Xenopus tropicalis: one gene and its partner. The protein of the gene in region 1 purifies or fractionates together with the protein of each later gene. This does not show direct contact. Links are inferred from orthologs where the notes say so. Each region holds a gene or a part of one and is shown in the gene's direction. Other genes may lie near its edges. The genes, in order: atl3 and esyt1.

Region 1 (4,611 bases):
CTCTAACAGAATCATTATGGACTTCTACTTATTATTAAGCTAATGCCTTGTTGTTCACCTTCCCTTTAAGTGCCCTGGTGCCTTTCTACAATGCACTGTTGTGCAATGCTATGTAATCATACAGTCTGATTAGACAGATGTGAGGTATGTGATTTTGTCTTTTGTCACCTTTTGTCTTTTGTCACAATATCTTGCTGAATATTTGTGTAATACTATAAATGTTGTAATCTGATGGTCAGTGCTGTAGTCAGACGGGAAGTGCACAATTTTGGGGTGAAAGGATAGCAGATTGAATAAATGCTTTCTTCTTGTATACTTGAGCAATTCATACAAGGTTGCCACCACCCAGGGCCATATATTCTTTATAGACACCAGGCACATATTTGTGGAAAGGCCACAAAGGCCTGGGCCTAGGGCATCAGGAGGACTGTGAGGACAGCATGCCACCGTGCCTCATCTACATTTGGGATTGGGCAGACAGAAGATCTAAACAGCTATTTGACTCTCCGCCCTTCCAGTCCCCACTACCGCAATTCTATTGTTAGTGATGAGCTTTGCTACAGCCTAGGGGTGTACATACTTCAAATTTGGCTCTGATACACAGCTGATGGCCATATAATTTTGTTCTTATTCTGACCTGCGCACATCCTCTGGTACCTATATAAAGACACTAACCAGTAAAGTTGAGCTAAAGGGATACCCCACTTAGATATGATTGGCACATGAGCGCTGACACCAGTCAGGTGTGAGGAGGCAGCTTTAATACCCGTGTCTATGTCACCTGTGTTTGTTTGCTATTGGAAACTTGTTACCCCATGTGAGCAGGTGGCCCTCCAGCTGTCACAGAACTAGAGCTGTCTCTCTCCAAGACTGAAGGTAGTTGTTTTTCTGTGGCAGCCACAATGCCACTTCCTGATATGTCAAATTAAATAATGACAAGAAAGTGTGTTCCTTGAGTCACTGCTGTATTGAACACTGCCATGGGAGACTGTAGTAGAATACCTGCAAATAAGGGCTCTCACACATGGGTTGCCAATCGCAGACGGAACGCAGTTTATGTATCATCTGTGTTCAGTGCTGTGCTTACTGTCATTCACCCTTGTGAATGCATTCTATTGTGTTTCTGCAGCGAAATGTCTGTGCGTTCACAGACTGACACTAGAACTGTCAGTGCACCAAGAAAAAGGATTGGATGGGAATGTATCAGCTTTTCTTGCCTGTGAGAATATACTGTTGGAGAAAAGCTGATTGTCAGTACTATGTGCCTAAAGCCAAAGACATTGCTGAGAATGAGAAGCTCTAACAAATGATAGTGTGAGACAATAGAACACTTGAGTTTGGAGCAAAACTGCAGCTGCACTACCCTCATTTACAGTGACCCACTTTGACTGGGCTAGTAGCACAAAGACAAGGGGCGGGACTTGGGCTGCTATTGCAGAATTTGTACCAGTCACTCACAATTATGACTACTTCCTGTGGAAGACTGAACGTGAAGACACGCCCAGCCCTGATTTCAGGCCAGGCACGGAACAGTGAGGGTCTCTCTGCAGCTTTGATACAATTACATTTATAAGAGGTAAAATGCAATTTCAACCATTTATTTCTGGGGAACTGTATGCTGACATTAATAGGTTATGAGAATTACATAATATGTCGTCTGTTCTGACTCTCTGTCACTGTATAATGAAAAAGCCATGCTCATACTTTGCAATATTTTAACTTTCTTTTTGCTTGCTGGTGACAGCAATTCATGAGCATAAAAGCCATTACAGAGGTAACTTCTTACTAATAAGTCGGTGTCCATAAAGATTGTTTGTTTGAGTGCCCAGCATAACTGTAGATAACTTTTTGTGTGTTTACATATAAACTCTAGTGGGTTGCAACAAAGTATGTTGAATCCCAAGAGTGTCTGCCTTTTTTCTTCATTACATGCAGATTGTAAAGGATCTATAATAAGTTATTTATAAGAGTTATTGCTATTGAAAGCGGTACTTTGCTGACTGTTTACATTCTCCACCTTGCTGGCTCCGACTCCTCGCACAATGTGCCAGAAGCCAGTAAGGAACAGAGCTGGAAGTGAACTGATTTTCTGTGTTGTTTTAGCAGTGCAGAAAGAGAAAGGAATATAGATACCACTTTTAGGTGAAAACACATTTAAAATAAAATTGTAAACAACAGAAACATTTTTATGCATGTATATTACAAAGGTGTTTAGATTTTTTCTTTCTTTGCAAAGAAAATGAATTTTTGGCTTTCTTTTGCTAAAAAAAAAAAGTACTCTGTACTACGCAATTACTTTTTGCTATCACTAGTCATTAAAATACTCTTTTCTAATTACTACAACTACAACTTTCAGCTTTCTTTTACCTTTGACTATATGTTAAAGAACACTGACAGTGAATGGAAGAGGCGAACTTCCTACACATGGCCTGGTCGTGCCCACAAATAGCCAAATTTTGGTCTGAGGTTATGTGTGTCCTAGCAGATAAACTAGAATTCCCCAAAATTCTGACACCCCAAATATGCATACTGGGAATCCTAGATGAATTAATAACTACCAACTATGCTAGAACCAGATATAGGACACTTCTATATTATGCCAGGAAAATCATTGCAATGGCTTGGATGGGACCTGAACCTCCTACGGTTCAAAACTGGATCACCCTGGTAAATCAAGTTCTGCCCCTCATTAAACTTACTCTGTTAGCCAGAGGTTCCAAAAAGAAGTTTGAGAAAATTTGGAGCCCATGGTGGGAGGCGGGCCTAGGTGGACAAGGTACTCTGGCATAAAATACAATACCCTAACTTACACATGCGGATGACTTTAATTCCCTAGCAAACTCCCCAAGCAATAATCACCTAAAAAACCTCTACACTACCTCCAACCCTACTACAATATAAGTGAATGGATTAGCGCCATACAACTGTAATCTATGTCATACCAACCAAACCTATGTTAATTTATTAGTATATCTGTCATAACAAAACTGAAACATGTTTAATATGTTACCGCAATACTGTATCCAACGGTATATAATTTTTTTCCTTTTTTTCCGATTTTATTTTTTTCTTTACTCTTTTCTTGATGTTTTGTTTCATGTATGTTATATTAAAAATAAAAGGATAAACTATAAAAAAAAAGAACACTGACAGTTTTAGTAAAGCAGCATCAGGGTACCCAAGATAAAGGCTGCTGTCACACACACATGACACCTGCCACAAGTGACATGAGAACATCTGGTGTTTCAGCACCAACTGACAGCAAGGCATCTGTCAATGTGCATATGGGGCAGATTTTGGCCTGAAAAGCGAAGTTGGGCATTTTCAGGGCAAAACCCACCCCATGTGAGCATTGACAGGTGGATGCTGTGCCTGAAGGTGCTTGTGGAAAACAAGGTGGATGGCAAACGATTGGCATGTGAGAAACGGGTGTGAGAAAGGAAACAGACTAAAAATTTATTTAAAATCTATATATTTAATATGTCTTAAATTTATATTTTTAATATTTAAATGAGAACTAAATGCAAACTTTAACCTGGGTTCCCGTGCACTGCCTCCCCTTCTCCTCAGTAAAGACAACCTGCAACCCCCAGCACAGAGTTGCCCTGCTCCATCATACAGATATGCTGAAAATGCAGTGCTGCATGGTGGGCTGCTTGACTTCTGGTCCTCTGCTTTGTGGCAACATTAGAATATGTACATGTTCCTGGTTGGTGATTGTGGGCAAAAAGTAGAGGATTGTTGGATTGCTGGGAAACACTGCATTGTCAGCACTGGTATGTTAGAGCAGGGCTTGTAGGTTAGTTCTTCTTTAAGACAGAGTACTACATTTGAAAAATGTAATGATGTTTCTCTGTATATTCCTGTGTACACAATAGCATTATTTTGTTCTTACTGAGTTGTTTGAATATAAAATACATACACAGCATTTCTTCCTTTCTTTTTGGCTCTTTCTGTTTTCTGCATGCAGACATGGCTTCTTCTGCACCTGGTCCGGTCCAGGTAGTGTTAGTACAAAAGGATGACCATTCCTTCCAGCTGGATGAAGAAGCTCTGGCATCTGTACTACTTCAGGATCATATTCGTGATCTGGATGTTGTCGTTGTGTCAGTAGCAGGTGCTTTCCGCAAAGGGAAATCATTCTTGTTGGACTTCATGCTGAGATATGTCTACAGCCAGGTAACATCCTAGGGTACTGAATTGGCTCAGGAATCTGCACTAGTTACTTTCAGATGATTTAGATCACTAATTTCTATTATGACTATGTGTCTCTAAACCAGTGATCCCCAACCAGTGGTTCAAGAGCAACAAGTTGCTCACCAACCCCTTGAACGTTGGCCCCAGTGCCCCCAAACCAGGTAGTTATTTTTGAATTCCTCACTTGGTGGCAAGTTTTGGTTGAATAAAAACAAGATTTACTACCAAATAAAGCCTCCTGTAAGCTGATAGTGTGCATAGAGGCTACCTAATAGCCAAAAAACAGTGTCTCCTGACGAAGGTCCCTCTGGGGGACTGAAATGTTGAGGTTTGAAATGTTCCTTTTTTCTATGTTTCAATAAATATTGACTTTTTTTTGCACATATGACTTAAATCCTGTGAGTGCTGACATTA
Region 2 (3,821 bases), on another chromosome or scaffold:
GTCACTCACAGAATCATTCAGGTGTTCATTGGCAAACTTCAGACGGGCCTGCACATGTGCCTTCTTGAGCAGGGGGACCTTGCGAGCCCTGCAGGATTTTAATCCATTGCGGTGTAATGTGTTTCCAATGGTTTTCTTGGTGACTGTGGTCCCTGCTAATTTGAGGTCATTAACTAACTCCTCCCGTGTAGTTCTAGGATGCTTTTTCACCTTTCTCAGAATCATTGACACCCACGAGGTGAGATCTTGCGTGGAGCCCCAGAGCGAGGTCGATTGATGGTCATTTTGTGCTCCTTCCATTTTCGAACAATCGCACCAACAGTTGTCACCTTCTCTCCCAGCTTCTTGCTAATGGTTTTGTAGCCCATTCCAGCCTTGTGCAGGTCTACAATTTTGTCTCTGACATCCTTGGACAGCTCTTTGGTCTTTCCCATGTTGGAGAGTTTGGAGTCTGCTTGATTGATTGATTCTGTGGACAGGTGTCTTTTATACAGGTGACTAGTTAAGACAGGTGTCCTTAATGAGGTTGACTAATTGAGTAGAAGTGTCTAACCACTCTGTGGGAGCCAGAACTCTTAATGGTTGGTAGGGGTTCAAAAACTTATTTCACTCAATGAAATGCAAATCAGTTGCTATCTTTTATTTAAAGTTATTTTTTCGATTTTCCTTTTGATGTGCTATCTGCCACTGTTAAAATAAACCTACCATTGAAATGATACTGTTCTGAGACTTTTCATTTCTTTGTCATTGGACAAACTTACAAAATCAGTGAGGGGTCAAATAATTATTTCCTCCACTGTATAGAAGGAATGTGCTTAAAAAAGTTGTATTTCAGACTGATTCATTGAGAAATTCCCCCAAACCCCACTAGCCCCGCCCATCTGTGTCACTTCCTGCTAGCTGAATTCTCTGGATGAGCTGGGGAACCGGCAGCCCTCCGTACCCTGCACTGTAGGATAGGAACCAATCAGCAGCTTGGCTAGCCTGATAGGGAACTGAAGCTTGGCTTTGCTTGTGTGAGTGCAGGGCTGTGATTGGCTCTCCCCCCTACTGTGCTTCTGGCAGGGACCGTTAGGACACGCCCACTCTCCATTTCGAACTCGGACAGAGAAGTGATAGGATATATAGGGAGCCATTGTTACAGATTGGATTAATTTTTAGCACAAAGTGAAACCAGCACCTTATATTATTCATAATTGCCTACAAAATTAGGGGTTTCCCATTTATCCAATATGTCTCCTTTAAAGTTGTAAACCAAAAAATCAAATTATTGTAAATTTGCTAAACGATCGTTTCACCATAATTTTGTATTTTTTTTTAGCTGTTAAAGAGCCAGTATACATCCCTTTTCAACTTTTCAATGAAAAGTGCTTGGTCACAACCAAGGGTGATGGGGGGTTGTATACTGGAAATCTAATAATCTACTTCACAAGGACCAAGCATGTAGTAACTTCAGTCTCTTTGTTTGCCTTGTTTAGGGCAAGGGATAATAAAAAAAAAAATACTTTTTGTTCAGCTCAAATCACTAAAGTGCTCAAAAGAGAACTCTGAGCAAGTTTATAGTCATTTCATTTATATTTGTGTACATCTGTAGGGTTGAGGTAGGGCTGCCTGTAATATGCTTGTGCAGATATATACATGGGTTTTCCCCTGTGAAAGCACAAGGAAAATTGTAGACAGGTTGCAATGCCTGTGTAGTTTAATTGAGATTTATGCACTTTATTTTAAATCTTCTCTCAGATTGTGGCGCAGATGTGGCCTTTTATAGGACAGTATTTGGAGAAGTTGCTCACAGATAGTATAGCACCCACAATCCGGGCCAGCAATACACATCTATCAACATTCTACTTCACGAAGATCAATGTTGGTGAGAAGGTAAGAAATGTTATGTTAATGCTTTGGATTAGTACAGTAGCCTGCATCATATGGTTAGATGATGGATGGCAAGGGAAACAAGAACTCTTTTTTAAAATATAACAGTACAAAAGACCCCAAACACTGGTTATTGGCTGCATCACTTGGCCTTTTTCCCTATGCTTAATAGTTGTAGTATGTGTTTTACCAACACTGGACACATTTGTACTAGTGAGTAGTTACCCTTGTAAGACTAATAGATCTTCAAGTAGAACAGAGGTAACAGTGTTTCAAGGGTCACTATACCCTATACCTTCAGAAAGCTGCCTAGTTCAGGTACCGGTAAATACCTATACTGCTGATTTTCTGCAATCTGTACATACAATCTGTAGGAGGCATTAAATCCAGGGCTGCATTTGTGGCAAGGCCTAGCACAGCAGGACTTTAGGGGTGGCATGCCACCCAGCTGCATCTAAATTGTGTCCGGAGCACTGGGGAAGTGCAGGAGTCCTGCTCACTGAGCCCCACTGCTCCAGACCTGACAACTGAATTTTGGGCATGAAGGTGGGGGGTGGCGGGCTTGACGTGCCAAGACATGGACCTGAGGTGCTCAATATGTAAACCCGGGCCTGATTAAATCTGTATGTGTGTAAGATCTATTCTAGAATTAGTGCCATTGACAGTAAGAGATGTCAAGCTTTTAACTCTTCAGTTATATTGAACTCATAACACCTCATTTACTCTCTAGGCTCCAAAGGTAACCGGAGTGAAAGCTCATACAGAATTTGACAAGAAGCAGATAATCTTGGATTTGCACCTCAGGTATATGTTACAATATAGCCTGCATGTGTGCTTCACTCTCCTGTTATCTAATTCTGGCATTCTTCTGTAATTTTTTTGTTTTGCCTGCTGCAATGCATTCATTTTTTTTTCTGTAGTTATGTTGGTGACATAGAAGTTAATGTAGAAGTAAAGAAATATTTCTGCAAAGCTGGAATTAAGGGGATGCAGGTATGTGAGCCACAGATGTAATGTGCAAAGCCCATTTCAGTGCACTAATAATCATTTTCTGTTTATTACTGTTTATTTCTTTTCCTTCCTTATAAATTATAAACAAAATTTCCTTTCTAACAGCTGCATGGGATGCTCCGTGTTATCCTGGAACCACTAATTGGAGATGTTCCTATTGTTGGAGCCATGACATTATTCTTCATCCGTCGTCCGGTAGGTGATTAATAAATGGTGCCTTAGTTGCCGGCAAATGTAAATATATTCTTTACAAATAAAATGTAGGGCTTGCATTCCCATGGTGCCTTTCTTCATATTATAATAGTAGTAGATATTGTTTGTCATACACTTACTCAGACATATGCAGAAAAAGCTTGGTTTCAGTTTTGGGGCAGGTTTGTACCATAAACACCCATCAAACCACAAACATTTGTCCTGCTAAAGGGATCTCCACCCAAAACGGTTTGTTATTTGTAAATCTAATTGTGGTCGAAAGCAGTATTTGTGTATTCTTTTCTGTGTTCTGCTTCTAAGAGCAATGACACACTAGTCGATTAGTCTCCCCTCAATGAATCTCCTCTACCGCAGGCGACTAATCTGCAAATGCTGCTTTGGCTTTGCAAATTAGCACAGAGTTGCCTCTCAAGGAAACTTTGGCCTATTTCGGAAAGTAGCCGCACCGCGTATGTTTCACTTTGTTCTTTTACCTAACACCCTATGTACCCTTAATGCCCTTAATGTTAAAATAGTGCAGCAGAAGTCATTTCTTCTACAGGTCTGTTAAACAGCTGACTTCTGCTACAAGTCAAAACCAGCAGCGTGGAGAATATATAAACCAGACACATCTTGCTTTTTATAGCAATTACATTTACAAGTACCTGTAGAGTCATTGAACATTTTTAATTAATGTATGACATCACTTCCAGTGTCAATCAAACACACGGTACATAAGACTGCTC

What was found.
Region 2: the proteins of atl3 (region 1) and esyt1 purify together in Homo sapiens (affinity purification with mass spectrometry; 3 studies listed by BioGRID and IntAct, with this or other methods). This does not show direct contact. The link is inferred for Xenopus tropicalis from reciprocal best matches to the Homo sapiens genes ATL3 and ESYT1.

Annotation. Positions count from the first base shown.
Region 1 is NC_030680.2:36,371,673-36,376,283, forward strand, and holds the start of atl3 (atlastin-3), read left to right. Parts: upstream 1-1,564; 5' UTR 1,565-1,576; intron 1,577-3,970; coding exon of another isoform or gene 3,971-3,972; coding exon 3,973-4,179; intron 4,180-4,611. UniProt on the Homo sapiens protein: Atlastin-3 (ATL3) is a membrane-anchored GTPase that mediates the GTP-dependent fusion of endoplasmic reticulum (ER) membranes, maintaining the continuous ER network. It facilitates the formation of three-way junctions where ER tubules intersect.
Region 2 is NC_030678.2:137,577,655-137,581,475, reverse strand, and holds part of esyt1 (extended synaptotagmin-1), read left to right. Parts: intron 1-1,740; coding exon 1,741-1,875; intron 1,876-2,602; coding exon 2,603-2,676; intron 2,677-2,792; coding exon 2,793-2,865; intron 2,866-2,988; coding exon 2,989-3,078; intron 3,079-3,821. UniProt on the Homo sapiens protein: Binds calcium (via the C2 domains) and translocates to sites of contact between the endoplasmic reticulum and the cell membrane in response to increased cytosolic calcium levels.